4 linked regions of the Rattus norvegicus genome follow. The protein of the gene in region 3 interacts with the protein of the main gene of each other region in a biochemical or structural test. Links are inferred from orthologs where the notes say so. Each region holds a gene or a part of one and is shown on either strand. Other genes may lie near its edges.

What was found. The genes of interacting proteins can lie anywhere in the genome.
Region 1: of the proteins of Gsk3b (region 3) and Eif2b5, one has a biochemical effect on the other in vitro, tested with the Homo sapiens proteins (2 studies listed by BioGRID and IntAct). The link is inferred for Rattus norvegicus from reciprocal best matches to the Homo sapiens genes GSK3B and EIF2B5.
Region 2: of the proteins of Gsk3b (region 3) and Rictor, one has a biochemical effect on the other in vitro, tested with the Homo sapiens proteins (2 studies listed by BioGRID). The link is inferred for Rattus norvegicus from reciprocal best matches to the Homo sapiens genes GSK3B and RICTOR.
Region 4: of the proteins of Gsk3b (region 3) and Klf5, one has a biochemical effect on the other in vitro, tested with the Homo sapiens proteins (2 studies listed by BioGRID). The link is inferred for Rattus norvegicus from reciprocal best matches to the Homo sapiens genes GSK3B and KLF5.

Annotation. Positions count from the first base shown.
Region 1 is NC_086029.1:93,904,013-93,911,645, forward strand, and holds the start of Eif2b5 (translation initiation factor eIF2B subunit epsilon), read right to left. Parts: upstream 4,789-7,633; 5' UTR 4,753-4,788; coding exon 4,573-4,752; intron 3,556-4,572; coding exon 3,431-3,555; intron 2,588-3,430; coding exon 2,402-2,587; intron 2,322-2,401; coding exon 2,144-2,321; intron 2,056-2,143; coding exon 1,975-2,055; intron 1,720-1,974; coding exon 1,642-1,719; intron 1,405-1,641; coding exon 1,092-1,404; coding exon of another isoform or gene 1,082-1,091; intron 1-1,081. UniProt on the Homo sapiens protein: Acts as a component of the translation initiation factor 2B (eIF2B) complex, which catalyzes the exchange of GDP for GTP on eukaryotic initiation factor 2 (eIF2) gamma subunit.
Region 2 is NC_086020.1:57,536,553-57,544,066, reverse strand, and holds the start of Rictor (rapamycin-insensitive companion of mTOR), read right to left. Parts: upstream 4,789-7,514; 5' UTR 4,723-4,788; coding exon 4,674-4,722; intron 4,515-4,673; coding exon 4,467-4,514; intron 1-4,466. UniProt on the Homo sapiens protein: Component of the mechanistic target of rapamycin complex 2 (mTORC2), which transduces signals from growth factors to pathways involved in proliferation, cytoskeletal organization, lipogenesis and anabolic output.
Region 3 is NC_086029.1:76,060,723-76,067,760, forward strand, and holds part of Gsk3b (glycogen synthase kinase-3 beta), read right to left. Parts: intron 2,731-7,038; coding exon 2,620-2,730; intron 1-2,619. UniProt on the Homo sapiens protein: Constitutively active protein kinase that acts as a negative regulator in the hormonal control of glucose homeostasis, Wnt signaling and regulation of transcription factors and microtubules, by phosphorylating and inactivating glycogen synthase (GYS1 or GYS2), EIF2B, CTNNB1/beta-catenin, APC, AXIN1, DPYSL2/CRMP2, JUN, NFATC1/NFATC, MAPT/TAU and MACF1.
Region 4 is NC_086033.1:82,469,149-82,476,868, reverse strand, and holds the start of Klf5 (Krueppel-like factor 5), read right to left. Parts: upstream 4,789-7,720; 5' UTR 4,483-4,788; coding exon 4,255-4,482; intron 2,163-4,254; coding exon 1,298-2,162; intron 213-1,297; coding exon 153-212; intron 1-152. UniProt on the Homo sapiens protein: Transcription factor that binds to GC box promoter elements. Activates the transcription of these genes.

The DNA of each region.
Region 1 (7,633 bases), about 18 Mb from region 3:
GTACCCACATGGCAGCTCTCAACTGTCTGTAGGTTCAGTTCCAGGGGACCCAACACCCTCACACAGAAATGCAGGCAGAACACCAATGTCCGTAAAACAATAATAAATACATTATTTTAAAAAAGAAGAACACAGAGAGCCCACAACCAGCATTTAGGTCCCAGCACTGCCTTACATTAGACGTTACTGGGGCAAGGGAAGTAACACATGCAAAAGCCTTTTGTAAGCTGTAATAACTGAACAAAGGTCATTAGTACACACTAACCCTGCACTTGCCTCTAAATGTGAACACAGAGAGGACATTCCAGAATATGAAGAGTCACTGTAAGAGTCATACACAGGCTAGGCAGAGCTGTGGTGGTGCTCACTTCTAATCCCAGCACTCAGGCAGATCTGTTAGTTCAAGGCCAGCCTGGTCTACAGAGTTTCAGTATAGCCAGGACCAGATAGAGAAACTCAGTTTCAAAAAACCCAAGCTGGCCACAAAGCCCTGACCAATCTATCCTCCACAGTAGATGGGATTATGCACAACTGTAGCCAACTAACTTCCTAACGTCCTGCCCTCCTGCCTGTTCTATTTAAGAAAATCGATAAACATTTCCAGGATGGTCTCAAACTTGTAATCCTCCTGCCTCCATCTCCCAGGTGTCGGGACTCCAAGTGTGGGCAACACTGGGTGTGGTGGCTCATGCCTTTAATCTCAGCACTTGGATCTCTCTGGGCTCAAGGCCAGCTGATCAAAACCAAATGGAAATGTGTCCACCAGCAAGCACAGGACTCTTGTCAATTTAACTCTATGTGTGTGAGTGCTTGTGTGCACACATGGACGCGCCAGTGCCCAAGGTCAGAAGAGGTCACTGGATCCTCCTGTACTTGAGTTGCAAGCTACCTGATGAATACTGGGAACAGAGACTGAGTCCCCCGCAAGAGCAACACACGTGGACCACCTCCCTGTCTCTCTGCTCCTTCCTTACGATAGCCACTCAGCTTCCTAATCATAAGGACTATCCCTCGGCCTCCTCCCTAGCTTCTGGAGACACACTGCAGCCCCCACACTTTAGGGCCACTGCTGGGTCCCCACCTGTGCTCACCAATGTGGCAGTTAGGGCCAATGACACTGTTGGTGATGGAGCAGTTGCTGCCAACGACAGTGCCAGCTCCCAGAAGCACGTTTTCCTCCAGGACGCTGCCGTGGCCCAGGCTGACTTCAGGCCCTCGGTAGATGTTGTGTCGGGAATGAGTGTAGCTTTGTGTACTGCTGTCAGTGAAGTTGACTTCTGGAGTAAGAGGGTAGACCCATCGGCGGATGACGTCAGCACAGACAGCTGAGTACATGTGTAGGTTGGAGACCCGGGCACCATATTCCCTACTTGTCACATGCAAGTGAATCTGATTTCCTAGGATCTGAATGAGAAGGGACGATTACCCAATCAAGCAAGGCAGGAAGACACTCCCCAAGTATACACCCTTCTAAGCCTCTCAGTGCCTCTCTGCCGCTCGATGACACCATCAAATGGCCTGAGCTTTCTTTATGGATCGTTGCTCCCAGCTGTCTCAGGCTTAATGAAACGCAAAAGGGAACCCAAGGTTACCAGAGCAAGACAAACCCTCTCCTCTAGACGTTTTGGGAGCTTTCCTCACCTCCTCATTCACTAGCAGGCCTCGCACAAAATCATCTCGAGTTTGGTAGTCAAAGTTGTCTGTGAAGAGCTGAGCTACCTGTGGAGAAAACACACTATGCTAAGGGTAGGTGCTTTACAGTAACAACGTCCAGAGAGCTATCAAAGCCATAGTAACTGGCTGTAGGACAAACCCTAGATTTGGTTCCCAATATACTGGGAATGAAGTAATTGTGCTTCTCTACTGTACAACAAACCAGAAAAAGAGGGGAAAGATGCATCCCCTGGACTTGAAAGGGAACAGACCCCTAGAGTTTTGCTCTTTGGCTATGCAGCTCTGTTCTGAAGAGTTCACCTGAGGAGAGCAGATGCTGATGTGACAATCCAACAAGTCATATCGAATCTCCACTCCGTCTAGACTGCCCTGGAATAGGCCCTGAGGGGAGAAGTTACAAAGGCTTTAGCTCATCTCTCCTCTCGAAGCTCCTCCCTCTTCTACCTGAGTTCCCCAGACACCCAGTTACCAAAGGAAAGGAGAAATGGCGGAGGCCTTGGGTCTTCTGGAAGTGAAGAATCCTGTTTGTGGTGCTATCCACAGCTAGCACCACATTGTCCTCATGGCAGCGTGTAGGGTGACTGGGTGAGGACTCTTTGAACACCATTGTCATGACAGACACATTTTTTTCTAGCTTCCTTCTTAACCTATAAAGAAGGAGGGGCAGAGTTAGTCTTAGGACTCAACTGGTCCCTAAGTCTTGTCCCTGCCGTCTTCCCCACCTGACCTGTGTTCCTCCAGGGCTTTGGAAATATTGATATTTGAGACGACATCTCCATATATCAGGAGGAAATCAGAGCGCACCAAGGCCTTGGCATCGACATCACGGAGGACATCTCCTAGTGATCGGTACAGGTCTGATGTGATTATTCGAACAACATTGAGGGACGTAGGATGGCACCATTTGGATTTCCTGTGGGAAAGTGATGAGGAACTATAAAGTAAACAGACTATCACAGACCTGACCTCTAACCTCCATTCAGCATTTATACTCCTCTGTGGCTTCTCTGGCTTCCTGCCAGCGTCTCTGGCTTCAAAGAGACGCGTGAACCATAATAAATGGTTTCGGCTTCCAGTGTCATTAGTTTTATGTGTTTGAGAAGTATGACCATTTCCTTTCTATACCTTGACTCCCGTCTTGAAATGTGAGTTTGAATTTAAAATCCTATGAAATCTAGGCTATGAAAGTATTCTGGGAACACATTTTTTTTTTCAAGTCATCTTTCTTGTTCTGAGTCTGTATCAACTTTAAGCACGGTAACATGGAAAACATGTTCAGTATACTAGTCTTTACTTCCAAAACTCATAAATTCCCAGACTAGCTCTTCCAAATTTTAACAAGCATCTCTTAAGAACTTACAGTGGGCTTGAAACTAAGGAGGGCAGTGGGGGAGACAAGGGGAAAGAACTTGTTCCTGTCACTGGGGGGTCAGAACAGACAGTGTTTAGAAATTCAGTGGGAAAATAAAGATGCTCTTCCAATAACATACCCACTGGAACATAAAAAGCAAAACTCACTGGAACGAACTTTGAAAGACTCAGAAAATCATAGCCAAGCCTTTCGATTTCCATCACTGAAACCTCAAGGCAAAGAAAGCTCCAGCAGCTTCTCTCAGGACACGTGAAGAAAACACTAAATCATACACGAGCTCAGAACAGATGCAGTTTTCCTCATGTCTCTACCTCGTCAAACCCATGCTGGAAGGACTGGAAAAAAGACGGTGAAGCATGGAAAGGAAAAATTCCCGAGCCTTACTGTAAGTGTTCTTTGATCTGAGCAGCCTTCCAGCAGCAAAAGACAAATGTTTCCTGTACACCCGTGGCAGTCAAGAATTCCAGAGTATAGTCGATCAGCGCGACATTGGCCAGGGGCAATAGGACCTATAGGGCAGGATATGAAAAAGTCTGAGGTCTTCAAGCCATTATTATACTTCAGGTACCCCACTGCAACAATGTGCCTTTCATCGGGGCTTGCAGACACTACAGTTTGCTTTACCCTTTTATTCTAAAGCAAATAGGCCCAAAGGTTCAGTCTAAGATTTGGGCCTAGTAGACATGGTATCAGACACAGAATATGTTATAGGAAACCAGGGCTGACATTAAGGACAAATGTTGGCCCTAAATCATAGCTCTATAACTCTAAGCACTAAGACCTTCTTCTCATAGAATTTCCTCCTATTGACACTGAGTCACAGAAATCATTCAAACACTTGTCAAAAGTGAACAGTCGTTAGCCTTAGGAATTCTTAAGTAAAAGGCAAATCCCTGTTTGCTGAGGGACCGAGCAGTCTGCAAGCCCAATACCAATGTCCTATGTCTAGGTAGTTCCAAGGCTGAGGGGAACCCACTCGGTTCCCCTTGCAGCAGATGGGAGGAAAAGAGCCCGTACCAGGCCGAGATCTAGCCTTTTTCCCTTTAGGTATATATTACCATCGCTTTTTGAAGCATTTTTTAAATTGCCCATGTCCTGCAAGGTTAGAGGCAATGGAGGCCCCCTTGCGCTACTAAATCCCCCTGGGAAGGCTTCTTTCAAACACTGATTTTTTTTTTTCCTTTTCTTTTTTTCGGAGCTGGGGACCGAACCCAGGGCCTTGCGCTTGCTAGGCAAGCGCTCTACCACTGAGTTAAATCCCCAACCCCCTCAAACACTGATTCTATACACAGCCCTCTCAATCCTTCTCAAGGCTGGGCAGACAGCCCTGCGAGAATCCATATTTGCTAGCTACTCATCTGGACGGACAGCCACCGGGGTTTCAGTCAGTCCCTCCACTTTCTCTCAACCAGAAAAACTCAACTTTATGGTAACTTTCAGAACACGCTTCACTAGCAAGCTGCAGTGGCAACTTGTAGCCCTGCTACCCTCCAGGCCCGCAGGTTGCTCGCGTGCCGGGTCCTCACCCGAGGCTGGTCCTTGGAGATGGGGAAGAAGCGGCGGTCGAAGCTATCGGCCACTAAAACTGCCTGGAGGGGCGGCGGCGGCTCCTCCTCCGCACCTTGGGTTCCACCGCCGCCGGAGCCGCCGCCGCGTTTGTTCGCTCGGCCGCCTACAGCGCTGGGAACCGCCGCAGTGGCTGCCATTTTGCTTCGCAGTCAGCACGTCCGCCGGGAAGCCACACCGCACGCAGTAGGGGACAAAAAGGACTCGCAGTCAAAACGCGAAGGTGTGATTGCAAGGAGAGAAAGAGGAAGGAGTGCGCATGTGTATACTAGCAGGCCCCACCCACCCCCGTGCAAGGCCAGAGCCGGGGCGTGGCAGACCGTGCTAGTTTTGTAGGAGTTGGCGGTACTGGGTGGTGCACTTACCACGGAGGGGTGAGATCCCACCGTTGTCAAACTCGGTCAGCGAGTGCTGCTGAGTTAGGCAAGCTAAGATGGCAGCGAGCTGAGTAGGCTTGTGATCGCCCGGCAGGAGTCTGCAGCTTCCCTGCCCAGAGCTGGAGAAATCGCTCATCGGTTAAGGGCACTTACTGCTCTTGCAGAGAATCCAACTTCGGCGCCCAGCGCTCACGTGGTGGCAAGCAACTATGCACAATTGCAATTCTGTGGTGTCCAACTCACTTTCAACTGGACACATGCCTGTGGAATACATACAAGCTGGCAAAACACTCTTCCACATAAATCTAAAAATTAAATGTAGCTCTCCACTTGCAATTCTAGTCATCTAAGGGGATCTGTCGTCTTTGGGAGGGAACCCACGATCTGCCCAAATACTGAACGTGGAGGCAAGCGGTTAATTTTTTTTTTTTTTTTCGGAGCTGAGGACCGAACCCAGGGCCTTGTGATTGCTAGGCAAGCGCTCTACCACTGAGCTAAATCCCCAACCCCAAGCGGTTAATTTTACGGAGCACCCGCGGATTATGGGCTAGGTCGTGTCCCTTCCCTCCTCCGTGTCCCCTCCCTCCTCCCGTTCTGGAAATACGACCTAAAGCACGGGCATTTCTTAAACATTTAAATCAGACCAAGGAAGCACGCCCAACTAGTGAGTGGAAAGACTGGTGCTGGGGCTCATCTGACTCCCTAGTTCCACAAGCGTTATCACAGAAGAGGCTGGATCTAAGAGCAGCAGTAAACTGTAGGATTGGGGCGTAGTAAGCAAGCTTTTCAGGCTGGACGCTGAAGCAGAGCAACAGGTTTCGGGAAAAGAAGCTGTGGCCGCAGTTTATAAATCAAGCTTAAGGCTGAGGAAGCAATGGCACACAGCCTGGGCGTAATTCTGTCAAGCCAAAAAATTCCTGTAAGCAATCTGTGCCCATTCAGCACCAGAACCTCTGCTAATCCCACAGCCTGCAGGTTTCAGCAACTCCCTCTGTTGCTTCCACCCACCTCCCCCAGATGCCCTCTCTCCCCACAGAGAGTGGTTAGTTTGTGTTTCTACAGTTTAGATTCCTCATGGAACTCAGAAACCTGTTATTTCTTTCTTCGCTCAGTTAAGGAGGGTGCTGTGAGAACAACATTTGCTTTTGAAAACGTCGGTACAAAGAGGGAAAAGGTTAGTAAAAAAATTTCAATTAAATCAATGTAGTACAGGTCACCCAAGGGTGTATATTTCCACCACCGACTGAGACAGGAGGAAGTGAGATCTGCAGTGAGGCCTCGCGACAACTGATCAAACGGGTAGGCAAACACGACCAAAATAAAAGAATGTATACATGTACGTTCTGCGTGATTGATTGGTTGCGCTACAGATCTTCATGAAAAAGAAAAATGTGCACTTGTGGGAATTCTTACACGGGCACACACAGGGCTCCCAGAAATGCTGGATGTGGAGTTCAGGGGCTTGTGAAATTAGGTAACACTGCCCCCTAGAGATCAGTGTGATGCAATGTGCCTGCACCAATTCCCAGAGTCTATGTCATAGACTTTATGACAGAGGTTGTTTGTTTGGTTTTTTTTTTTCTTTTTTGTTTTTTGTTTTTTGTTTTTTTTTGCGATAAGGTCTCACTCTATATCCCTTCCTGCTGTGGTATTAGTCACTGACTATACCAGGCTAGCCTCCAACCCATGGAGACCCACCAGACTCTGCCTCTCAACTGGTGGGACTAAAGATGTGGGCCACCATGCCCAGCCTATGAAGTCATTTTTAATGTGGAGGTTTTCTGTACTGTGGAGTAGGAACCAGACGTATCTATGGTGTATATGGAGGCCAGAGGGTCTGTGGTAAGGGATTTTCTTTCCTATTCTGAGAAAGCACTGCCCAGAGAGTGTCTCCAGTCTACAGGGGTCAGTAGTTACAGGTATAGTGTGAAGTTGTGCCTGGCTTGCTAGTTATTCAACTCCCCCCAAGGAATGTGCACCCTGCAGGAGGGCAGAAAGGGATGTAGACCGTCTTGCTCACTCAGTTCTGTCCCAGTTTTATCTTTGAACATCCTGAGTCCTGGACTGAGGAAATCCTGAGTCCCTGGTACACTGAAGTGTTTTGACCGCCATATAGATGGCAACTAGACATCAGTAATTTGGTGTGGGAACTCCCTCCAACACACATAATTAGTAGACATGGCCAGCCCTTCCAAACCTCTTAGAATATGCGAGTCATAGGAAAGCAACACAATGTTGCTTATTGGGAGATGTTAGTGACAGAAAAAAAAAAAGCTTAATTAGCCGGAGAGAAAGTATGTTACCTAAAGGGAACAAAGCTTATATTGTCCTCAGGAAAGCTGAGATGGAAGCCAGCAGGTTAAGGATACACTGGCTACAGGTCTAAGAAGTAAAAGCTCCTTTAGGTCAAGAGGACAGAATCTCTATCCTGGGTGGAGACCAAACATTCCAGTTCAATAACCTGGCCAAGGAACCACCCCTAGGAAATTTAGGCTCTCCTTAAGCCACACTAAAAAGACGGGTCACATGATTTCCCCTTGATGAGAGACGCTGTGTTTTTTCTCCCACTCCCACGATTCTTAGCCCCTGCTCAGTCTTTACAAGTCAATCAGCCATGAAGTTCTTTGGGTCTGAGTTAGGACTC
Region 2 (7,514 bases), on a different chromosome or scaffold from region 3:
GAGAGACAGACAGAGAAGTTAGCAAAACTTAAAAGTTGGTTTTCAGTGGGAGAAAGCAAGCCAGCTGATGTCCTCCTTCTAAAATATCTTTGATTCCACTCCTGTAGCTAAACCCCTGGTCTAATCCTTCATCATTTCTCTGATGATAGGAGAGAACTTCTACACAGGTCCTCTATCCACTGACTTTCCCTTTCCACCGTGCTTTATTCTGCAGAGCCCTTCCACAGAGCCACAGCGTTTAAGGAAGGCTAGACCTTTCAGAGGCTTCTCTGATCACCAATGCACCAGACGATCACATTCTCCTCTGGCTGCTGCCTCGGTAATTCTGTCCTATTACTTACTGTTTCATACCACAATCACTTCTCTTGTCAGCTCCAATCAACTTTAAAAGGAACATCTTTCTCATTCCTACTCTTCCAGCATCTAATTCAGTTTCTGATACATAATAGATTTCTGTCAATGTTTGGTTAACTGATGTGAGCAATTAAACAAATGAGTAACCTCCCAACTAAGGGAAATTAGAAAACAAAAAAAATGTTCAATTCACACTATTTCAGATAACTGTCCTGCCTTTCTAAATACTGCACAGCAAGTTGAACCATCAACATTTCAGTCTAATCCAACAAACTGCATTCTAATAAATATGTAGTACACAGAAGTATCCGTTTTCTGGGAAGACACTTAGAAAACTATACTAACGGGGGCTTACTGAGAGATTATTGTGTCTTTCAAACCTGAGTCAACAGAACCAGAAAGGGATACACTATCTAAAAAAAAAAAAGAAAAGAAAAAAAGAAAGAAAGGAAAAGGTGCATGCTTGCTATGGAAGTAGCTAAAGGAAGCATTAGGTGTTTGTACTTTTTTAAAAAGCACATCTTGGTGTGAAATATAGAGAGTATTTAATGGTGTCAGAAGCAAACTAGGACCTTCGCAAATTAAGTAGAGTAGGCTTCTGAACAAAACTGAAAGCGAGAATTACTAATAAATTAACTCTAAGATTTACTAATTGGGCTCCTAGGTCAAAATTAATCTGTCAATAAACATTCTATATGAGCCACAGTAATAACACCAGTACTAAAATCAAAGGCCCCAAACCCTTCTGGGCCCCAGGAGAACCAGAATACAAGTAAATCAACATAACTAAAAACTTTCTGGTGCTAGGACAAACAATTCTAAGGCTCACAAAATGTAGTATCACATCTTACCCTAAGTACATACAACAAACTCTACTTTCCGCTTTCAGTTAATCTTAATTGGTAATTTTTTTTTTTTTTTTTTTTTTTTTTTTTTGGAGACAGGTCTCAGGGAGCCCAGGCTGGCCTCCAACTCCCAGTCCTGTCTCACCTCCTAAGTGCTGGTACTAGCAAAAACATGTTACCACTAAGTACTCCATTTCAGCCCGAGTCCTTGAATACGTGTGTAACAGTCAAAACAATAATTTGGGGCTTGGGGAATAGCTCAGTCAGAGAAATGCTCTGCCAGAGCTTGCCAAAAGTGTAAGGCCCTGAGTTCAAAACCCAGAGCCATGGGAAAAAGCTAGGTGTGGTGGCACACATTTTGATCACAACCTTGAGGAGCCAAGGACAAGCAGATCCCTCAGTTTACTGGACAGCTGGTTCAACCTAACTGATAAGGTCCGGGCCACTGAGTGGTATTGGCCAATAGGGTACTGCTCCTGCCATCCTAGGTTATCCTCTGGCTTCCATACATACATGTACACATGTGGACGTGCACATGTACATGCACCCACAATCACCTGACATACTTCTTAAAATACAAAGAATCCCAACCTCCCAATGTAGGAGCAGCTAACACCAAATATTGCTTATAAATGATAAAACATAATTTATACTGAGTAATTAAGAACTACCTTCCTTTACCTTTCAGTCTTACTAACATTTTAAAATTAGTTTTTTTCAGTGGAGAAACAGGAGGTAGGCAAGGTCAAATAACTTGTCCCAAATCCCCCAGCTACTATTGTCCCTGAGCTTACAATGCAGAACTATCTGACTTCGCAGTCAGTGTCTGATATGCCTGGATGTCTCTTTCACAGATCACTATGACCACGGTTGTCCACCTACACAGTAGACGTCACAAAACAATCTGCATGACAGCAAACCTTGCCTTAGCATAAAGCAAAACAAAACTTTAGCTGCTCAAACTTTTATCTGTTTCCGTATTGTAATCTAATCTACAAGCAGCTGCAACCCAGATGCCTCATGGGTCTGAAATCATTACTAAAGTTCAATTCCTCATGAACTTTCCTCATGTGTGATCCACAAGCTTTTAAACAATGAAGTGTCTGTTAAACAAACACTTTCTCTAATCAGCTGTCTCACTATATACGAGTCTAACTCGTAACTTTTTTCTGCTAAACTTCCTTATGGTTGAGGCCTACAGTTCTCAAATAACTTCTCGTTGTTGTGCATTGCTTTTGCAATCAGGTCAACTGGCTATGAATACGTATTTGGAACGCTAGTACATTTTATCAGGGCAAATGAAAACATTTTCTAAGCATTTTCTATAACCCTAGGAACAGCTATCTATATTATATTTATTACATAGATGTTTAAGTAAACAGTCTCAGAGAACTGATTCTTTTCAATCATACCCATAGATTTGTCTGAGTTAATATTTAAGCAAAGCAAGTTTCAAATAAGCTTTTCTACAATCCCAAATTCTGACACCACCACAGAAATGTATAAAGATTAACAAAATCACACACTACACAGTTTATCTCCAACCCCATATCTGAACAGGCTTTTACTGTACGCCAGGCTCAGGTTTACCTTGCAGTCTCTTCTCACAATTTCTTGAAATCACTGACCAACTACATGGTTAGAAAAGCACAATTCTGGGGCTGGAGAGATGGCTCAGTAGTTAAGAGCACTGTCTGCTCTTCCAGAGGACCTGAGTTCAATTCCCAGCAACCACATGGTGGCTCACAACCATCTGTAATGAGATCTGATGCCCTCTTCTGATGTGCCTGAAGATAGCAACACTGTACTCACATACATAAAATAAATAAAAATCTTTAAAAAGAGAGAGAGAAGCACAATGCTAAGTCTCAGATCTGTATTAGGATACTCAGAATGCTTGCTGGAAATTTTTCATATATATATATATTAAATTTACAAATTAAAAAAAGTCAAAAGCTTGACCTTTTTCTATACTGTTTCTCAAACCTAGCTAATAAAAAAAAGTTCCAAATCACCGATTTAACTAATTGCCATTTCTAGAACTTACACACCACTGTACTGTATCTTAAAAAAGTTTCTCACTTTGAAAGGACTAGTTTACTCAAAACTTCCTGAACTATCAGAAACAAATAACAAACATGTACTCATCTAACTAAATCAAAACTATAGTCTTTCAATCTACACCGGGCTCTTACAAAAACGGAAACAGAACTGAGAATGAATTATGCTGTCAATACAGAGATGGGTCTCCCAAAACCGACATCCACCATCCTTATACTTTATACGATGGTCACTACATACAAGGTGGGGGGGGAACAAATTTATGCCATGTGGAATGTTTACGAGTGTCTTTTCTTTTCACATCCTAAGGTGTTTTACGGAACTCGAAAAGTGATTCCGCACAGCAGAACTAGTTAGTTACACTCAACTACAACGCTGTGGGAAGTGACTGTCGAAATCTGTAGTCCAACTCCTGTTTATGGAAGAAGAGAAAAAAGAACTCCTTGCACAGAACTACTAATGCTTTGGCGAGATACTGTGGAATAAACACCAGTCTGGTGGCCGGTGACCCAAGCAAGAAACACCGATCACTCGGCGGAGACGGTTCTTAAAAATGCACGCCGGGCTTGCCCTGCAGAGAAGGTGTAAACAAACGCATCTCCACTGCAGACAGAAGGTACACAATGAACCTGCGGCAGTGAGGGGGCGGTCTCTAGCCAACTACAGCCCCAGCGGGCCCGGGAACGGGAAGCAGCAGGGAGACGCGGCATAAAGCAGACACTTAGCAGTAATCACCGGCTCTCGATTTCACCGCCGAGTTCGCAAAGCTGCGGGGCCCCCAGAGGACCGCGCGGGCAGAGAAGAGCAGTCACGCAGTCAGCAAGAAGCCGGCAGATCCAGCATCTGCTCCGGGGGACGGGGAGGGCAGGATGTGGTCGCTCTTCCCACAAACATCCTCCAGTAACCTAAATAACAACCTCTACCTCCCCTCGTCCGAGGCCGCCTCCGGGATTCGGGGGCCCGGGAGCGGACGGGGGGTGCAAACACGCTCCCGCGGGCGTACGCGCAGCCCCGGTCCTTGGGTGCACCTAGGTCCGCCCCGCGCTCCCGCGCTCCGGCAGCCGCCCCAGGCCCGGAGGGGCTCACCCGGGGGGAAACCGGCGCGGGGCAGGGGGATGGGCGCGGGCTCGGCCCCTCGCTGCCCCGCGGGTCGCGTGCCTGCCCGCCCCAGCCCCGGTGCACAGCGGCCCCGGTGCCCCGCGTTACCTCGGGTCAGATCCAGCGGGACGTTCTCCTCGCCGCTGTCATTCCGCCCTGTGCGAAACAGACACACAGCCCCAGTTAGGAACCATCGCAGGCCAGCGGCGCCCGACGCCCAGTTTGCTTCCCCCACCCCAGACCCCGGGCAAAGCCGAGCGCCGCGGCGGACAGCGAACACCGGGTGCGGAGAGCGAGGGCGGCAAGCGGGTTTACCTCGTATTCGGAGGTTCTTCAGAGAGCGGCCGCGGCCGATCGCCGCCATATTGACGGGTTTCAGTCACAACACCGGAAACCTCGCCCGATCGCGCGAGAACCCCTTCCCCTCCCCGCGCGCGGTTCCCGCCCCCCCCCACCTCCGCCCCCCGCGACAGCGCCCCCGCCCCTCGGCACGGAGGCTCGCCCGCGGGCGCGGAGCAACCAGGCGCCGACCCGGGGTGGGCTGCGACCCCGGCGCGCTGAGACCGGCAGGGTGTCGGAGCGCAGGCGTGGTGGGAGGCGCAGTTCCCACGGGGGATTCCCATTGATGTGGCTCGGGCCTCGGCGCGCGCGGCGGAGGCCGGGATGCGGGCGGGCCACCTGCTGGACCGCCCCGCTGCACTCCCCGCGTGGCTTTAAAGCCCGCTTCGTTACTCATCGGCTAAAATTATCATTATTTTTTATTATTATTAAAAGAGAGGGTGGGGTGGGGAGTGAGGCGCGCGGTGCACAGTTAGGAATGTGGCTTTGATCCTTTCCCAGAACCGCGGTGCTCCGAGTGAACACGTAACAAAGTTTGTTTTCCACCCACGCTCTGACCATTGAGCTAAGCGGCTTCGCGCTTGATCTTAGGCAAAGCTGCTCGCCGCCGGAGCGGGCGGCTGGGCGGAGGTTTGCTTTCGGGCTGCCTGGCATCGGACGTGCAAGGAGTGCAGAAGCGGGCGTGCAGGGCACTCGCCCGCGCGGGACTCTTCCCCAGCGCGCGCCAGCGCCCGGAGGCCCCAGACAGGGTTTCTTCTCCACCCGGAGCCTAGGGAGGAGGCTGAGCGCCTGGTCCTGGCTTTCTGTTACTCCTACATCACTGACTAATGCGGATGCGTTGGATAGATGTTTTTAATGCATACAAGTAAAAGTGATTAGCTTACGAGTTTCTAGAAGCGGTTTATTACGTACTCATTTGGCCCTTCTCTCTTAAACTAGATTACTTTAGTGAGAGGGTATTTTGTCTCCTCCAATTCCTCACCTCTCTATTCCAGACTTCAAAGTAAGTGGAAAGTGGAGATCTTGCCTTAACCACTTCGTTTTTTCAGTACAGACGTCAAAAACAAAGATCTATTGGCGTAAACCTTCTGCTCCTTCTGCCCTAATAGTGTTGTAAACAATAGTAATGTTCTCAATAGAAACAAGCAGACCAAACCCCCTCTAAAACCACAAAGAGAAACAAATATTGGAAAGGCTCCCCTTGTTAATAATAGTGAACAATTGTAAACTTAAAAGTCCAAAGGTAGAAATTATGCAAATGTAGTAGTCATTTAAAATGACTACGCTGATCCATTTCATTAACAATATGATATTAAGTTAAGTAAGCAATTACAGATTTCCTGTATTCATAAATGCTTGAAGTACGTATAAAATTCAAAGGGTCCATTATAAAATAATTTTTACAAGCATGTATGTAGGAAAAAAATACAAGATGTATATCTGAATGTAAACTACTATTCCCCTTTCAATTGTTGGTCTCACCTGCATTTTTTTTGTTCTTGTTGGGTCACCTGCATCTTTTAACTAATAGTTGGTCTATGACAGTTATAGAAGCAGCAAAAGTTTTTTAAAGAAAACTAAAAGAACACCAAGAAAATAAACTTGGGTTGCTGCTCTCTTGAGATAGGACCCCACATCTACACATTCCGTGTCCCTCAGGACGAGGTCTGCGTCCTGGCATCTGCTGCTCTGTTGCACTTAGATTGAAGGATCTAACACAATTACAGTGCTTTAAAGAGATATTTCCTGACACTATCAGTACAAGCCTTGATAAATGACATACTTGCTTCCTTTTTTACAGCTTTCAAGTCATTTACTCTATTTCCTGTCTCAGATGAAGACCACAAAGTTTGAGGTCTGGCCAGGATACTAAAAAGTTTTATCTTTCATCCCTCCACACATCACCATCACTAAAAAACAAAATAAAATGGTAGAAATCTGTCAGTGAAAATGCTAGCGGATTTTCAAATGATCCCTCTAGTGCTAACGTTTATTCTCGCCTGTTTTAAATTGTTTCCTCACCTGTTGTAAGTTCCTTAAGTTCCAGTCTTTCTCGAAAGTGAGCACAATTGGTTGGCTTTAAGCTAATCGAGGGACTTCTGAGCCTTTTAGCTTCATAACTGTGTGTCCTTATTTGAAGACCACTATTTACTTATTCCGTCTCTGACACACACACACACACACACACACACACACACACACACACACACCCCTCATTTTCAACCTACCAATCATATCATTTGTTTCCTACGGCTCCTATTTTAGTGAGTTGGGTTCTCCACATTTGCTCTTAAAGTGGGAGGCTTTCTGATCAAAAGAACAAATCACACTCATCTAGGAATGAGGGCTTTAGGCGGGTTATAATAAAGAATACAGTATACAATGTTATGTTTGAGTTTTAAATGCTATCGATCACAATTGGCCCCAGAACATAAGCTACTTATTAAGAAAAAAAGAAAGAAAGAAAGCCCGGTTATTTTCTGTGATGCTTGTTAAAAATGTCCCTTGAGCCTGGTTTTCCCCTGGTTTGTTTTAACCCTCCTCAAAGCCTTGCTCGCTTTGTTTACTACTTCTGTAATTTTATTTTGGCTCTAATCTACCCACTGTGAATATGACTTCCTCTTCTTAGTTCTCATTTCCCAGTTAGGTTTCATTTACTGTGTCAATGAATGCTTTTTTTTTCTAGTATTAGTCATTGATAAAAAATGTTATAGAAGATGGAGTCCAAGACCACACCTCTGACTGACAGCTCACTTGGTTTTGAAGATGCCATGACTTCACTGCTGGCCACAGGCTGCTTCAATCCCCTATCCTGTT
Region 3 (7,038 bases):
CCTACTGAGACACCAGTAACTCGGATGGTAAATTAGCCTTTAACATCCTTAGAATAATGTAGACTTCCAATGTAATTTAAAGGCAGATGCCCAGACAGATCTGAGTTTTAAGGCCTACTTAGTCTATAGAGTGAGTTCCAGGAGAGCCAGGGTTACACAGAAAAAAAAAAAAAAAAAAAAAAAAAAAAAAAAAAAAAAAAAAAAAAAAAAACCACACACAAACAGATGTCTAGCTGACTTGACATCATTGCAGAGGTAAATCTTAACTGCCAGCTTGAGAGTACTTGGAATCGATGAAAACAATTTTGGACATGTCTGTAAGGGCATCTGCACTATTCGATGGGCTAGCTACCTGAACTGAGTAAGAGAAGAAAAGGAGCTCACGCACCGTGTATCCTCTCTGAATGTGGCTAGCTGCCCCATGCTCGCCCACCATGCCTTCCCTACCACGATGCACAGTATCCCCTAGAACTATTAAGCCAAAATAAACCTTTCTGTCCTTGAGTCGCCTTTGTCTGGAATTTCATCAGAGCAAGCAGAGAAATAATATCTTAAGAGATTGTTTTAAAGCTTTGAAAAATGTACCAATGTAACGCCTTTAATCTTCTACTTATCTGGAGGCCAAGCTTCTTTTCCTTCCTTCCTTCCTTCTTCCTTCATTTTTCCTCTCTCCTAAGACAGACTCCCATGGAATACAGTCTGGCCCTGGTCCTGTCATCCTCTAGTCTATAAAGTGCTGAGATTATAGACATGTGCTGCCTTCTCCAGCATCATCACCTCCAATCTGTTGCACACGCTCACTCTCTGAGCTCTACTCCCTACTTAATACCATGGAAATCAAAACTACTACTGTCTGATTAAAAAAACAGGAGAAGTACTGATAAAGACACCATCTTTTCCGACTGTACTGCTAGGGACTGGCATTACTAATGTTAACAGGAAATACTTCCTTCAGAGGTATGAGAAAACTGCTAAGGCTAGACAGGTTCAATTTTGATTTAAATCTCACTACCCAAGTTAAAGCCTTCTTCAAAATGAACCATGACAAAAATGTAGGCATAACATCTTTAATGTCAGCATTTTGGAATTAAATTAAATCCAACTCCCTATGCACTTATACATTGTCCTTTAACTAATTTTTTTCAATTAAAAAAAGAATGGCATCTCTATATTGTTGCCTGCTCCACAACCTGATGCTAGAACCTGCTAGAAAACCCGTGAAGGACAAAAAGAGGGACTAAATCCTGTGCTGGGAAAAATCTGGACCCATTCAGGAAGTACACCCCACACAGTTTTACACATGAGTAATCTTCCTCTCCATTAGAGTTTGGCCATACGATGATTTACTCGGGATCCCGGGGAGAGTTCAGCTATGCTCCCTCCTAACCCCTGCTTTAAATGACTTTCAGTGGAAAGTGGCAGCATTATGACAGTCACCACATCAGCTCTATGTCAGGGGTGGGGTAAAGTAGGTAATTATATTGCTGTCACTGAGAAATAGAAAAAAAAAATCAGCACCTAGTTGACAGCACACATATTAAAAATGTGTTCCTAACTAGATTTGGTAACTCACACTTATAATCTCAGCACTCAGGAAGCTGAAGCAGGAGGATTGCTACAAGTATCAAAAGTTTCAGGGTGGTCTGAACTACAGGGCAATACACTATCCACCCCTTCCCTATCTCTCACCTAAAAAGAAAAAAAAAGTTTCCCATCATCTACCACAACTGCAATTAGAAAAATACTAGATAAATTCCTAACTACAGTTACATGAAAAAAAAAAGGGGGGGGAGGGATTAATATGAGATTCCAACACCTAAATAATATAATCTGTTTGCTTAAAACGGGCAGTTTAAATGTCTATGAGGAATGCAATAAACAGTAATAGAATGCTACACGGGAACTGTGGAGACTGAGTTTACTTACGTATTTGTGGTGTGTGGCACACGAAAACACTGAGAGCGAAAGTGATGCTATGGCTGGGAGCCGCCTCGCTGTAAAAGAGTTTGCTGTACAAACACGGAAACCTCACCCTGACTCCCCAGCACCATGCATGAAGTTGGGACGAGGCGCACTTGGCTGCCATCCCACCACTGGTGGGAAGAGAGACCAAGACAAAACCCAACTAAAAGCTTATACAGGGCCCAAGAAGAGGTCAGCCCAAGGTAAAGGTGAAAGCAGGAGTCTGACTCTGGCTTGAATTCACCTGTGCTCCCCTCCCCACACCACACCAAAGGTGTATGGCTATCACAGTTAAAATCCTTAACTTTGAAAGCTTTACCATATTTTATCAGAATATTTATTCAATTCCTTTATCTCATGGGCATGTGTGTGCACACACATGGGATATGCACGTGGAGGATTAGAGGACAACTTCATGAGGCTGGTTCTCTTCGACCTCACGTAGGTCCAGGAATAAAACTCCAGTTATCAGTCTCCCACAGCAAGCACCTTTACCCACTGCTGAGTAATGAAAGCTTTAAAACAACTCCATGCTTTAAAACTGTAACAATTTAGCACCATCCAGAGCTTGCTGTTTTAACAAGGAGTGACCAGTGTCAGTGGGGTTGACACATCCCAACCCTTCTGTGAACTGGAGGGGGTCCCATTGTCACATACCTTGACATAGATCACAGGGAGTGTCTGCTTGGCTCGACTATAGTGTCTGGCGACTCTGTACACTGTTTCCGGAACATAGTCCAGCACCAGGTTAAGGTAGACCTCATCTTTCTGTACGGTTTTAAAAGAAGAAAAGGACAAAACCAGATTAGAGGCTCATCTTAAGTATTCAAGTTAGAGTAAATCTCTATATACCTCTTATTCAGATGTTTAAAGAAAAGCTTCATATGGTCAATTTTAATTACACAAACTTACTTCTGGGCATGAGCAGAACTGTACAAATGCATCTAGCAGACTTTATAATCCGGGTATAGTTATAATCCATCACATTGCTTACACATGTGTTATGATAGCTTTTCGTTTATCATAATGTTTATTATTTTCTAGGCTGAAAAAATCAATATCTTTCCTCCTCTGTGGAAAGATTGCTTGAAGACAGCACTGAGTCAAAAGCCAAGAAAGCAGGCTGCTCGCCCTGGCTCTGCTGTCAACTGATGTGTATGTCTGACTGATATATATGTCTTGGCTTCAGTTTCTTCAGCTCCTGAGGAAGAATGAACTAAGTATTCTTGGAAACACTGTAGCCTCCACACAAATGCTTTGTTTGTCTGACGGTCTAGATCACTAATACATACATACATACATACATACATACATACATACATACACACACACACACACACACACACACACACACACACACACACATATATATATATATATATATATCTCAAACATATGGATGAGATCATGCCCACAAGCTTGTCCACTGGTCTCCGGTGTAGCAGCATAAAGGCAAGAGTTCAATGTCAGTCAAGAGAAAGAAGGGAGCTAGAGCCAAACAGGAAAGAGGAGAAAGCACTAGTGACACCCTGTTCTCTGAACAGCACCAGTTGGGTAAACTGAGGACGAAAAGTGAACTTAAGGATTACGCTTGGTTACTGAGTAGTGAAACTGCAGGTGACTGTTCATAATTCCACCTATCAAACTCAAGTCTGAGGCAGTGTTTTGGGCGCATCTACAGGTCAGAGCTGCTACAGGAGGGAAGGGTGGGTGCAGGTGTCAAGTTACCCACGTGTAACTCTGCTCTCCCACTCTGTGACTAGGAACAAGTATAGCTTCTTATCTTTCAAATGAAGACTGAAACAACAGAGAGAAAACTTTATTCAAGATATGAATATATCTTTTTTGATGGTCTTCCTTCTTCCATAGCTAACTGGTCTATCACTCTCATCAGCACAGAGGCAAGCAAATGATGACAACAGCCTGCGATTATCTTTATAAACAAAGTCTAACTGCAGCTCAGCGACACCCACCAATTAAACACTGCCTGTTGCTGTTTGGGGCTAAAATGACAAGAATCAAGTACTTGTGGCAGTGACTGGGTAGGTTGCAAAACTCAAAGTATCAAAGAAAAAATGGGTGTTTTTCATAACCCTGGTGATATTTAGTTTTCTGCACAGCCTGAGCTCAAAAGCAGCATGGCTACAAGGAAACCTCCATTGTGTTGACTGCTCTCATATTTAAATCATCATCGATAAATTAAGTTGGAGAGATAGATTCTATCTTGGTTTAGCTATCTAAAGTCCCTGTAAGAATTTTGGGTTGGAGCAGTGATGGTTCATGCCTTTAATCCCGGTGTGCAGGCCATAACTGTCTGGAACTCTAGTTCCAGAGGGATCTTGACACCCTCACATAGGCATGTAGGCAAAACACCAAGGCACACTGAATGAATGAATGAATGAATGTGAAATTTGGGTTCAGGCTGTGGGTGGTGGTACATGCCTTTAATTTCAGCACAGGGATCTCTGTGAGGCAAAGCCAGTCAGAAATAAACAGTGAACCTCTGCCTTGGAAGAAGAAAAGGAGATAAAAAGAGAAAGGGTGGATGGGGGATGGGGGTTTCTAGGTTCACAAGTGAGTAAACAGCAAGAAAGAAATAAAAACCAGTTGATTAATTTCAACCAGATAGCCCCCAAGTTTGTTCTTACATAACTTGTGTTGGTAGAAGAGGAGAGTTGGCAGGCAGTGATCAAAGCAAGGCATAGCCAATACAAAACTACTGTGCTCCTTGTTCTGGATTTTTACTGGCAAATGCATATGTATGTTAAGAAGCTAGGACAAAAGTCTAAGGAAAGACTGGTGAAACACGACTCTAGAGCAGTAGCTCTCAGTCTGGGGGGTGTGATCTCTTCGGGTCAACATAACAATGAAAATGCGCCCTAAATCATAATGCTTACATTACGGCTTATGAAGTGGCAACAACAATATTTTTATGGTTGGGGTCACTACAACATGAGGAACTGTGTTAAAGAGGTGTAGCACTAGGAAGTTTGAGAACCACTGCTTTACAATACTGTGAAACAAAAACAAGAACACAGAGAGGTGAACAATACAGTAAAACTTCAAAATGCTCTGAGGTCTGAAACATTCTGGGAATGAACACGGCATCACAAATGGGTAAGTTCTCCATCATACCATAGGAAAGGCTGGTCACAGTCCAAACAGGCAGTAGATAAGTGGGATGCATGGTATGTGTTCTCCAGCTGCTTAGGAGGGTGAAACAGAAAGACTATTCGAATCCAGGACTGGTAAGGGGAACACAAAGGGGAGAGAGGACGGGCAGGGGCGCTTGGTGGTTAAGGTCACTTACTCCAGTTCCCACATGGAGGCTCACAGGTGCCCTCCTGTGAGCTCACTGCCCTCCTCTGGCCTTCACCACCATCAGGCATACATGTAGGAAAACACCCAAATACCAAAATAAAATTTAAATTAAAAAGTACAGAAAACTAAGCTAAAAATAAACAACATCAGCAAAAAAGAGCACAGGAGACATAGGTGTGCTGAAATTTTGTGTCAACTTAATATTGTCAGGCTACATTTTTCAGGTATACGTGAAACACAAATGCATTTCCTGTTGAGATTCAGAGGCCGTTCTCAAAACATCTCACTAAGTAACATTCTACAGTCTTTCCAAAAAACCACTCCTGGGTTCACAAGCTCAAATAAGAGAAATTCAACTTGTGTTATAGGATCCAAGTATGGTGAACCTCAGGAGTTAGAAGGCTTTTATTTAAAAGATTGCTAGACTCAAGGGCTCCTGATTCTAAAACGTATTTGACAGAGTTTATCATGATTGACACACTAATGAGAAACCCAGAAGTGTGGGCAATGCTAGATTACGGTTTCAGCATTTGCTAACGGAGCACACCGAGAAGGACCGATGCAACAATTAAGGATGACTGTTGCATGTTCAGGAGCTTCCGGCCCTAAGGCTCCGGGTCTGTCTGTCAGTAAGTGTTAGCATTTGGTCTGGGGCTTTGACCGCTTACTTTATATTACACTCTTGAAATCGCAAATGTCCCCTACTGACTCATACACTGAATGGTACTGGGAGGTGGTGGACGCTTTAAGAAGTAGACCATGATGGAGGACACAGGTCACTGGGCATGCCTTGAAGGACAGAACCTTGTCCCTGCTCTAGACGCCAGTGCACACACCACAGTGCACTCCATCCAACAGTCTCCACTACAGCAGCACTTGTAGCACTGCTCAGCAGCCCGAAACCAGTCTCCTGAGCCTCAGACCTGACCGTGAGCTCTGAGCCTGTGACAGTAAGTCACATGCTCTAACACACAACAGTGGACAGGCAAGTTAGCATGATGCAAAAGGGAAGCAGAGTAGAAAACCAAAACCAAACAAGGATGGGATTAAATCCTAGCCCTCGGATGTCCATTTGCACTCCTCCCACCGTATGTCTGCATGATGGTATTTTCAGGTTACTAAAGGTCTCACTCATCACAACTGACAACCTGAAAACAGAAGTTGACGTCTTAAATTGTGAGTTGAAATAATTTAAATGTTTTCCATGTATATTTTTGTCACGCCAGTGTTTCGGGAGGTGGCTGACACTCTATAAGCTTATAGATTAAAGGTTTGAAGAAACAAGTGACTTTAACAGTTAAGTAACAAATGTAAAGTATACAAACAGGGACAGCGGGTGGTACATCAGTACACGATTTAACTAGACACATCCATAAACAATTCACAGAGCGTACCAACCAAGTAAAAGCACCAGGAGACAAGTCTGACAGTCAGACTGCAATCTCCCGTTTTAACCAGCCATCTAAAGCTGACACCACTAACAATGGCTTAAATGGAAGAGCAAATACGGACTGTCAAGCCTAATAGGCCAGACTGAGCGAAGCCTTAATGTGATATCTAACAAAGCAGAAAGCCTTATAATGAAAATTCAGAACATCAATATACAAAGATCAACCAGACAAAATCAAGAGCAAATGCAACAGTCATCTGGAAAGTATGCACCAGGTGTAACTACGCAGAACTCAAGAAGGATGGGTCACTGAGGCACTCCTAAGGGGACACGTGAGACGTAGCATACGTGCTGTGTTCGGACCA
Region 4 (7,720 bases), on a different chromosome or scaffold from region 3:
GAATTGAGCCCAGCCCTTGCTGAAAAGGTAGGCCATTAAAAAATAAAAGTTGACAGAAGAAAGAAGAGATCAAACACATCTTGGCTTTTAAAAGGATGAATGTCACTTATACTATTTACACAACTCCCAGAATTAACAAGAAAATTACCTACCCGTATGAGTCCTCAGGTGAGCTTTTAAATGAGACGACTTTGTATAAACTTTTGTGCAACCTAAAATAAAGGGAACAGAGGAAGAACAACTTGTCATTTCCAGGGCCTTTTGCAATCTTTACATTCGATGATTCAGTGTTTAAAACTTGGCTTTCAAGATGAAATCTCTTGTGCTAGATGTAATATTGGAAGTTTTGGTTAGGAAGTTTCAAGGTGCCCTCCTGACCTTATTAGGAGGCAGAGGTGATCTGCTTTATGGACCATTTTGGGAGCAAAGACCACAGATAATCCAGCCAGTAACAAATGGAAATTCTGTGTTTATATTCCAGTAGGTACTTTTTGCTATAAGGCAGGCTTCAGTGACTGGAGAGCTATCGTAGTGTGTGTGTGTGTGTGTGTGTGTGTGTGTGTGTGTGTGTATTTAATGTAATGGATGTAGGACTGACAGTGTTATATCTGAGATAACTATAATTTTCTATACTCCTGTGTTTTTTTTTTCATTTAGCATGTCATGCCACATTGTGCAGTCAATAAATTATGCCCCGCATTAACCATAAACTCACTTATGCCTGCAACTTGGAGATGTATTACGTCCAATTATATTTTGGGTCATGTATCTCATTGGGGAACGAGCACACACTAATGGAACCAACCATTCTTAAAATTCATCCTGATGCCTTGTGCCTGCCAAGGGGTCCCTACAACCTGAAGAGAAGTTACCACATGCACTATTGCCTATCAACCTACTTAATCTCCAGAGACTTTAGAATTTGGTGCTACGGTTTTAGACCAAATGAAATCCAATACTACTAAAGAGAAAGAAACCCCATTTAGATTAATGGTCTAGTCATTACATAAACAAATCAAATAAAAAAGGGAATTGTAGGAGTTAATTAAGATCTCACTATGTAGCCCAGGCTAGTTAGAACATCTTCCTATCTCAGCCTCATTTCGGGGATTAAAGGCATGAGCTGTCATGACTGGCTAGCCATTATACACCAGCATAAAACACAAAAATATTAAGAGAAAAAGTACACCCTATATATTTTCATGGCTAAGGTTCAAAAGGGAGCAAACGTGAGACTCCGGGGCACCCCGGAACACGAAAAACACTACGGATGCTCCAGAGCACACAGACCACATACCATCATAATCACAGAAATGGATGCGTCGCTTCTCCAGATCCGGGTTACTCCTTCTGTTGTATCGGACAGGTTGGATATTTGGCGAATTAACTGGCAGAGTGGCAGGTAAATTTGGATTGTGAATTGCCAGTTTCGAAGCAATTGTAGCAGCATAGGACGGAGGTGGGGTCAGATTCTGGAGCATCTCAGCTTGTCTATCAGGACTTCCAGGCTCTGAGCTCGGTGGTGATGGGGGAAAGTAGGTGGCCTGCTGTGGAAGAAACTGACTCGGCATGGTGTACGTGCAAGGAGGCATGCCCTGGAACTGTTTCATGGACGTCTGTGGCACAGCAGAGGGGTGTGAGTTAAGGCCAGCCATAGAGACATTAAGGGTGTCCATGACTGCTGTCTGGTTTGTCGAACTGGGCATGTCTAGATCAGGTGTATTCAACAGCTGGTACAGGTGGCCCTGCTGGGAAGGGACCGAGAGATGAAGATCTGGTATAGGAAGTTCTTGTTTGATGAAGATATTGTTCACCTCTGGCGCTGTGGTCTGGTGGGAGCTGAATATACTGGTGAACTCAGGGAGGGCCTGGGTGGGGGCCGGAGGAGGAGGGGCGGTGGATTCGCTCTGGTGGCTGAAAATGGTAACAGGTTCTGTCTTGATCTGTGTTACGCATGGTCTCTGGGATTTGTAGAGGCCAGTTCTCAGGTGCGTGATGTCAGGGAGGAAGACGTTCATGTTGATGCTGTAAGGTAAGCCTTCAGTGTCAGTGAAGAACTGGTCGACCACTGAGGCACTGTCTCGTCTGTATTTTTTATGCTCTGAAATTATCGGAACTGGAGGAAGCTGAGGTGTCAGATACTTCTCCATTTCACATCTTGTCTAGAAAAGAAAAGATGAAAAACGTAATCTACCCGATTCAGTCAGGAAGGATAAATAAATATGGCCTACTAAACTCCAGGAGTACCGGGGCCAACTCCTAAGTGTTGCTTATAAACACACAAGTTCATTCTGTCAGTTGTGTAATTATTGGTTAACCAAAAGTCTCTGTGACATGTCCTTAGTAAAATCACTCCCCCAAATCATCCCCAGACAAAAAGTGAAAGAGGTGGGGGAGGAGGTCAAAACATATTCTTTTCTGATGCATTCAAGTCTCACCCCGGTCGGAGAACGGCAAGTCTTCAGTTTAAAGCACGGTATCACACTTTTGCCAAACTGTCTCAAATCTGTCCGCATCCATTACACTTAAACATGCTTCACTTGAAAACTAAGACCTTTTGCAACTCTTCGAAATAATTATTTCGAAGGGCTCTTCCGTGGGCATAGTTAGGTTTTCTTTGGATACTAATATAAAAATGTGCTTTGCCCATTTCGGAACTTTCTGAATAAAAACGAACATTTGGAGCAGGAGCCTGCATCCACTCGTACAAAACAAGTGCGCCCTCAACGTTTGATCTAAATGTTCATTTTACCCGGCCGATTCGGTAACTGGTTACATTAATAATGAAACGGACCTGTTCATGTCCCTATCTAAAACAGATCTTTTAATTATCAAGGAGAAAATCACTCCCTTGGTAGACGGGTGCTAAGACTCCCGTGGGTGGGGAGAGGCTGCTGCACTCACACAGTCATCAGCAAAACATTTATCATGTCCTCTCCGTGGGCCAATGCTACATTCCCCCTTCCTCTGTAAAAAGAGCAGTCATCTTGCTATCTCCTGAAAGAACCAAACTGAAATAACCGAATATCTTCCAGGCCCTGATTGTTTAAGATCAGACATAATCCAGCTACGGATCAGACGCGCTCTTCTAATACAATGAAAACTTTAATTTTTCTCATCTTTTTTGACATTGAAGTTAGAAAAAAGATCAAACCCCAACTACGTGAAATGGTTCATAAAAACCCCTGCACCTTAATCGATGAATAGGAGTCTTATTTTTGCTTTTAATTTTCAAAAGAATGTCACCTCGGACCTCAGATCATCAAGATCTGGATGTGGATGAGGACGGACGGGATTTCCCGGATATGCAGGACTTAAAAATAAAGATTCATGCTGTGACCATGTGAGTCACATCTGACAAAATGCCACTGTCCTCTCAAAGCACACTGGCAGACCAAGAATTAGGCGCTGAGTGCAAATACACAATACAGCAAGAGGCTATTAAACTAAGTGTCTTGAAATAAACCGAACTAAACCCTTTCGTGCACTGCGCTCCCGTGGCGGTTAGTGGTTTCTGATTTTAGCTCTTCCAGCTGTTTGCATGTGGGTCTGTTTCCAATTTTTTTTTTCCTTGGGACCAGCTAAAAGTCCCGGGAAGTTTTTTCTAGGCTATATGACTCCCGTGCGTGGGCGAAAGAAACAGGCGCTTGCTCTAATTCGGCTGCTGGGCAAGTGTAAAAGCCAACTGCCAGCTTTCAACGCGACTCCGGGAGGAAATTTACGCGCACAAGAAAAACAACACCCCTGGCCTTTTTTTTGTCCGTGTTCTTTTTAAGGAAAAAGAAGCGGTGTTCCAATACAACCTTAAAATTCTAGTTTCCTAAACGGGGCCCTACAATCCATTCTAGGGTGAGCCACGGAGGCATATGAAACCCCAGTAGTCCAATCTGCATTTTTATTTCACCCCAGAGGACGCAGGCAGGTGGACTTCCAAGGCCAGGGCCATCGGGAAAGAGTGGTCAAGAAGCATTTTAAGCCAAGTTGAGCGTGGGTAGAAGCCTTCATCCGCACGCAAGAAAAGACAAGGTGCACGTGAGCGCGCGGCTCTTTAGCCTTCTCTGGACAGATCGGGGTGGGCCCCCGCCCTGCTCCCCCATCCACTCCGCGGCGCCCCGTCTGGCAGCGCAGGGCGGGGTTGCCCACTCGGGCGCCCGTTCCCGCGCGTCCCAGCCTGGAGCGGCCCCTGTCGCCCGCGCCTCGCAGCGGCGGGACACGCCCGAGCTGGGGAAGGGAGGCCGGCCACTCTCGGCTTACCTGGACCAGCTCCTCGGAAGGCAGTCGCGGGCCGGCGGCTGGCGGCGGCGCAGGCGGGTGGTGGTGCGCGTGTTTCAGATCGTCTCCGGGGAAGAGCGCCGCGTCGCGGACCGGGTTCGCAGCGCCCAGCACCGGCTTGAGCTGCGCGAACACTGGCTCGTCCTGCGCGGCCGGCGGCTGGGGCACTGGTCCCAGGCGGGCGCTCATGGTCAGCACCCGCGTGGGCATGGACGGTCTGGAGACTACGGGAGCGGGGCACGGGGCGATCGCGATTCCCACCTCGCCCGGGCTGGCACAGGACGGAGGACTCGGCGCGGGGCCGCAGCGGGAGACCCCTGGGCCGGCAGCCAGACGCTCAAGAAGGCGGGCACGAAGATCGGGGCTCCTGGGCTCGGCCACGCGTCACCGCCGATGTACTCCGACCGCCACTTTCTCCCGCCCCGCCCCAGCGCTCGCTCGCTCCCTCGCTCGCTCCCTCGCCGGAACCGCTCCCGCCACCTCCAAGCTCCACCAGCAAGCTAAGAGGGCGCGTACCTGCCCCGCAACTACTGACACTTGACGCCCGCCTCTATTTCACCCAACTCCAGGGAGGCAGGGCCAGCTCATGCGACTGGCAGCGTTGTGGCCAATGGCAATGCCCCAAGGCCAGCGGCTAGCCAATAGAAAAGAAGCCCCACGAGGTCCCGCCTCCGACGGGCCGACCGCACCCCTCGCGGGCCAGGAGCTTCGCGCGCAGGGCTGCGGCGCAGTTTGTACACAACTTCTCTGACAGATTGGGCCGGCGGAGCACGGGGCGGAGGGAAGGAGAGGAGCGGGTGGAATCTAGGAAGAGGGGGGAATCAGGGTGGAGACGCGAAGGGAGATCTCTCCGAACTGTTCTCTGCCAGGATTAGGGCGAAAAAAAGTATTGCACGTCTTAGGTGTTGTGCAAGGACCTGAAACTCGAAAGCTGAAGGCAGAAGGCAGCTAGGTGGGGGAGCTGAGGTTTCCAGTCTTATCCAATGAGTGTATTTTTTTAAGTATACAAAATGTACTTTAGAGGAAAACAATGGGCGGTGCGGTAACAAATGTAAAACAGCTCTCATTTCTGTGTTTTCAACCGTAGATCTATCTATATACTTTAGCAGATCGCTTATGGCCTGAATAAAATCTGTAATGTCAAGCATTTTTTCAAGTCCTTGCATACCAACCTGGGCACATTTCCCCCTACAGCATTTAAGGAGCTAGAAGTTTTCACAGACATTTCTACTTTCCTTCGCCTGCCGTATGTGGGGGAAAGGTGGGGTAGGCCATATGAATTATGAAGTTTTTAATATTTAAACCATGTTGATTCTAGTCGGAGCATGGAATCTAATTTGAGAACTAACAGCCAGCTCAACTGGGTATTTAAATAGACATTACATCTTTGGCTTATTTTTGCTAGCACTGTAGTCTCTGGAGGGGGGGAGACGGAGTTTTAATATTTTCAGAAGAGAAGTATGGCCCATCTACCTAATACAGTGGCACCTTTTCCTACGAAACGGGAACCAAAGAAGCCACAAACATACACAGACACTCAACGACCCTGAAAACTGGGAATCCAAATTTGTAGGAAAGCAACGGCCAACTAAATGACCACCTTTTTACTGCGTTATTTTAATGGAGGGTGAGTGAGTGGTTTTGTTTGGTTTGGTTCTTAATTTTTGCCAGTAATCGCTAAAGGAAACTACTCTCCTTAATCCTTAATGTTCTTGTACATGATTTTATCTGGCTTATTGAGAAGCTGAGACAATAAACTGCGACTTTAAAAAATGCCTGTCGTATTGCTATCAACGTACGTCTTTTGACAGCACATTATAGCAGAGTACCTACAGAGAGCACACTGCCCCTTTACAGTGAAGCATCTTTTAAAAAGTTCTTAGGAGAAAAAGTGTACCTCACAGGTATGAGTCTCCTTAAATGAATGTTTGAAGAAAGTCTCACGTGCTGTTTGTTTGTTTGTTTGTTTGTTTGTTTAGCAAAGATAGAATCATATTGTGAACTCAATTTCTCTTCTCCCTTTTCCTTCCTGTTGCAATGATCCATTTTTACAGTTGTCATTGCTGCTTTCAGAGAACGGGCAATGACGCCTTTCAGGATACCAGGGTGTTATTTAATAAGTGTGTGTTTTAAGTGAACAATTTCATGTTGCCAACCTTCATCTTTAAAAACCTGGCCTCATTTTCTCTGTGATTAAACCCGATCATGAGCTCAAATCACTCGGAAACAGGTCATAGAATTGTTGTTGGATTTTAACTTTTTAAAAAGAGGTGATTTTTTTTTTTTACAAGACCTTTGGATGCTTAATGCTGATAATATAACCAAACTAAGGCGTGGGGTATTAATAACTCTTAATACAATATTTCTTTTCTTTAACTCTTAACTCTCAATACAATTTAAAGGTCTTGGACTTTAGCTTTATTTTGATTGACTTTTAAGCCTATCCAGACCAGAGCATCAGTGGGGCGTGATACTTCACTGCAATAAGACCCTTTTACTTTAATGGGAATCTTTCTAAATTTCACAATAGCTTTTTGACATGCTGCCCCTTACAAAGATTTCAATTGCAGCAAATCAAGACCCTCCCAAACCATGTGACAAGCACTGAAGAACATATTTTTATGGCCTTGTCACTCTTTACTTTCCTATTTTTTAAAGGATGTATATATGAGCCTACCTTGGTCTGGTTCATATAGCTGATCCATTTACAGTTTTAAAAATACTCGAATATCTACTTTTTTTTGCTTGAAATGGTGGCATTTATTTAAATGTAATTTCTGGCATAAAGATCGGGGAGTAGGGCCACCGCTTTTAAATAAGTAATCGTTTCTCTCAAATCCTTAGCTCTTCAACCCCACAGAAAATATCCAGCTCAGCTGTGTAGGATCCTACGGAAGTTGGAAGGCAATCCTTTTCTGAGATGTGTACCATGCTGTTCTAAGCACACAGAGACCATGTTTAACCAAGACAAACAGCGCTGTTGACAAACTTGTCCACTCGGCTTCCAAAAAGGGGTTAAAAGTCGATAAATATTTTTCAGATTTTTCCAGGTTCTACACTGGCGTGCCGCCAGCCAGTGTGAATGGACAGATCCTCAATTACTTTGAACTTTCTAGTTCTTTGCATTCCTCCCTGCTGAGTAGTCCTGCACCATTAGGGAAGATGGGAGAACACCAAAAAAGACAAATGTCAGGTTTCAGAAATCAATTAGTGGCCTGGCAGTCGTGTGTGAACTGAAGTGTGCCAAAACAGGGGATTGATTCTGAGGGAAAGAAAGAAAATTGTTGAGTAGTCAGGCTGGCTGGGAGAGTGAGCACAGAGGCAGTGTGCATACTTAGGTCCTTAGTCACTGGGCAGCGAGGATTTAGTCTTAGAATAAACCCCAAGTGTCACTATCTTTACGGGAATAAATACGCCTGAATGTGTGGGGGCTGAGCCGGCATCCAGC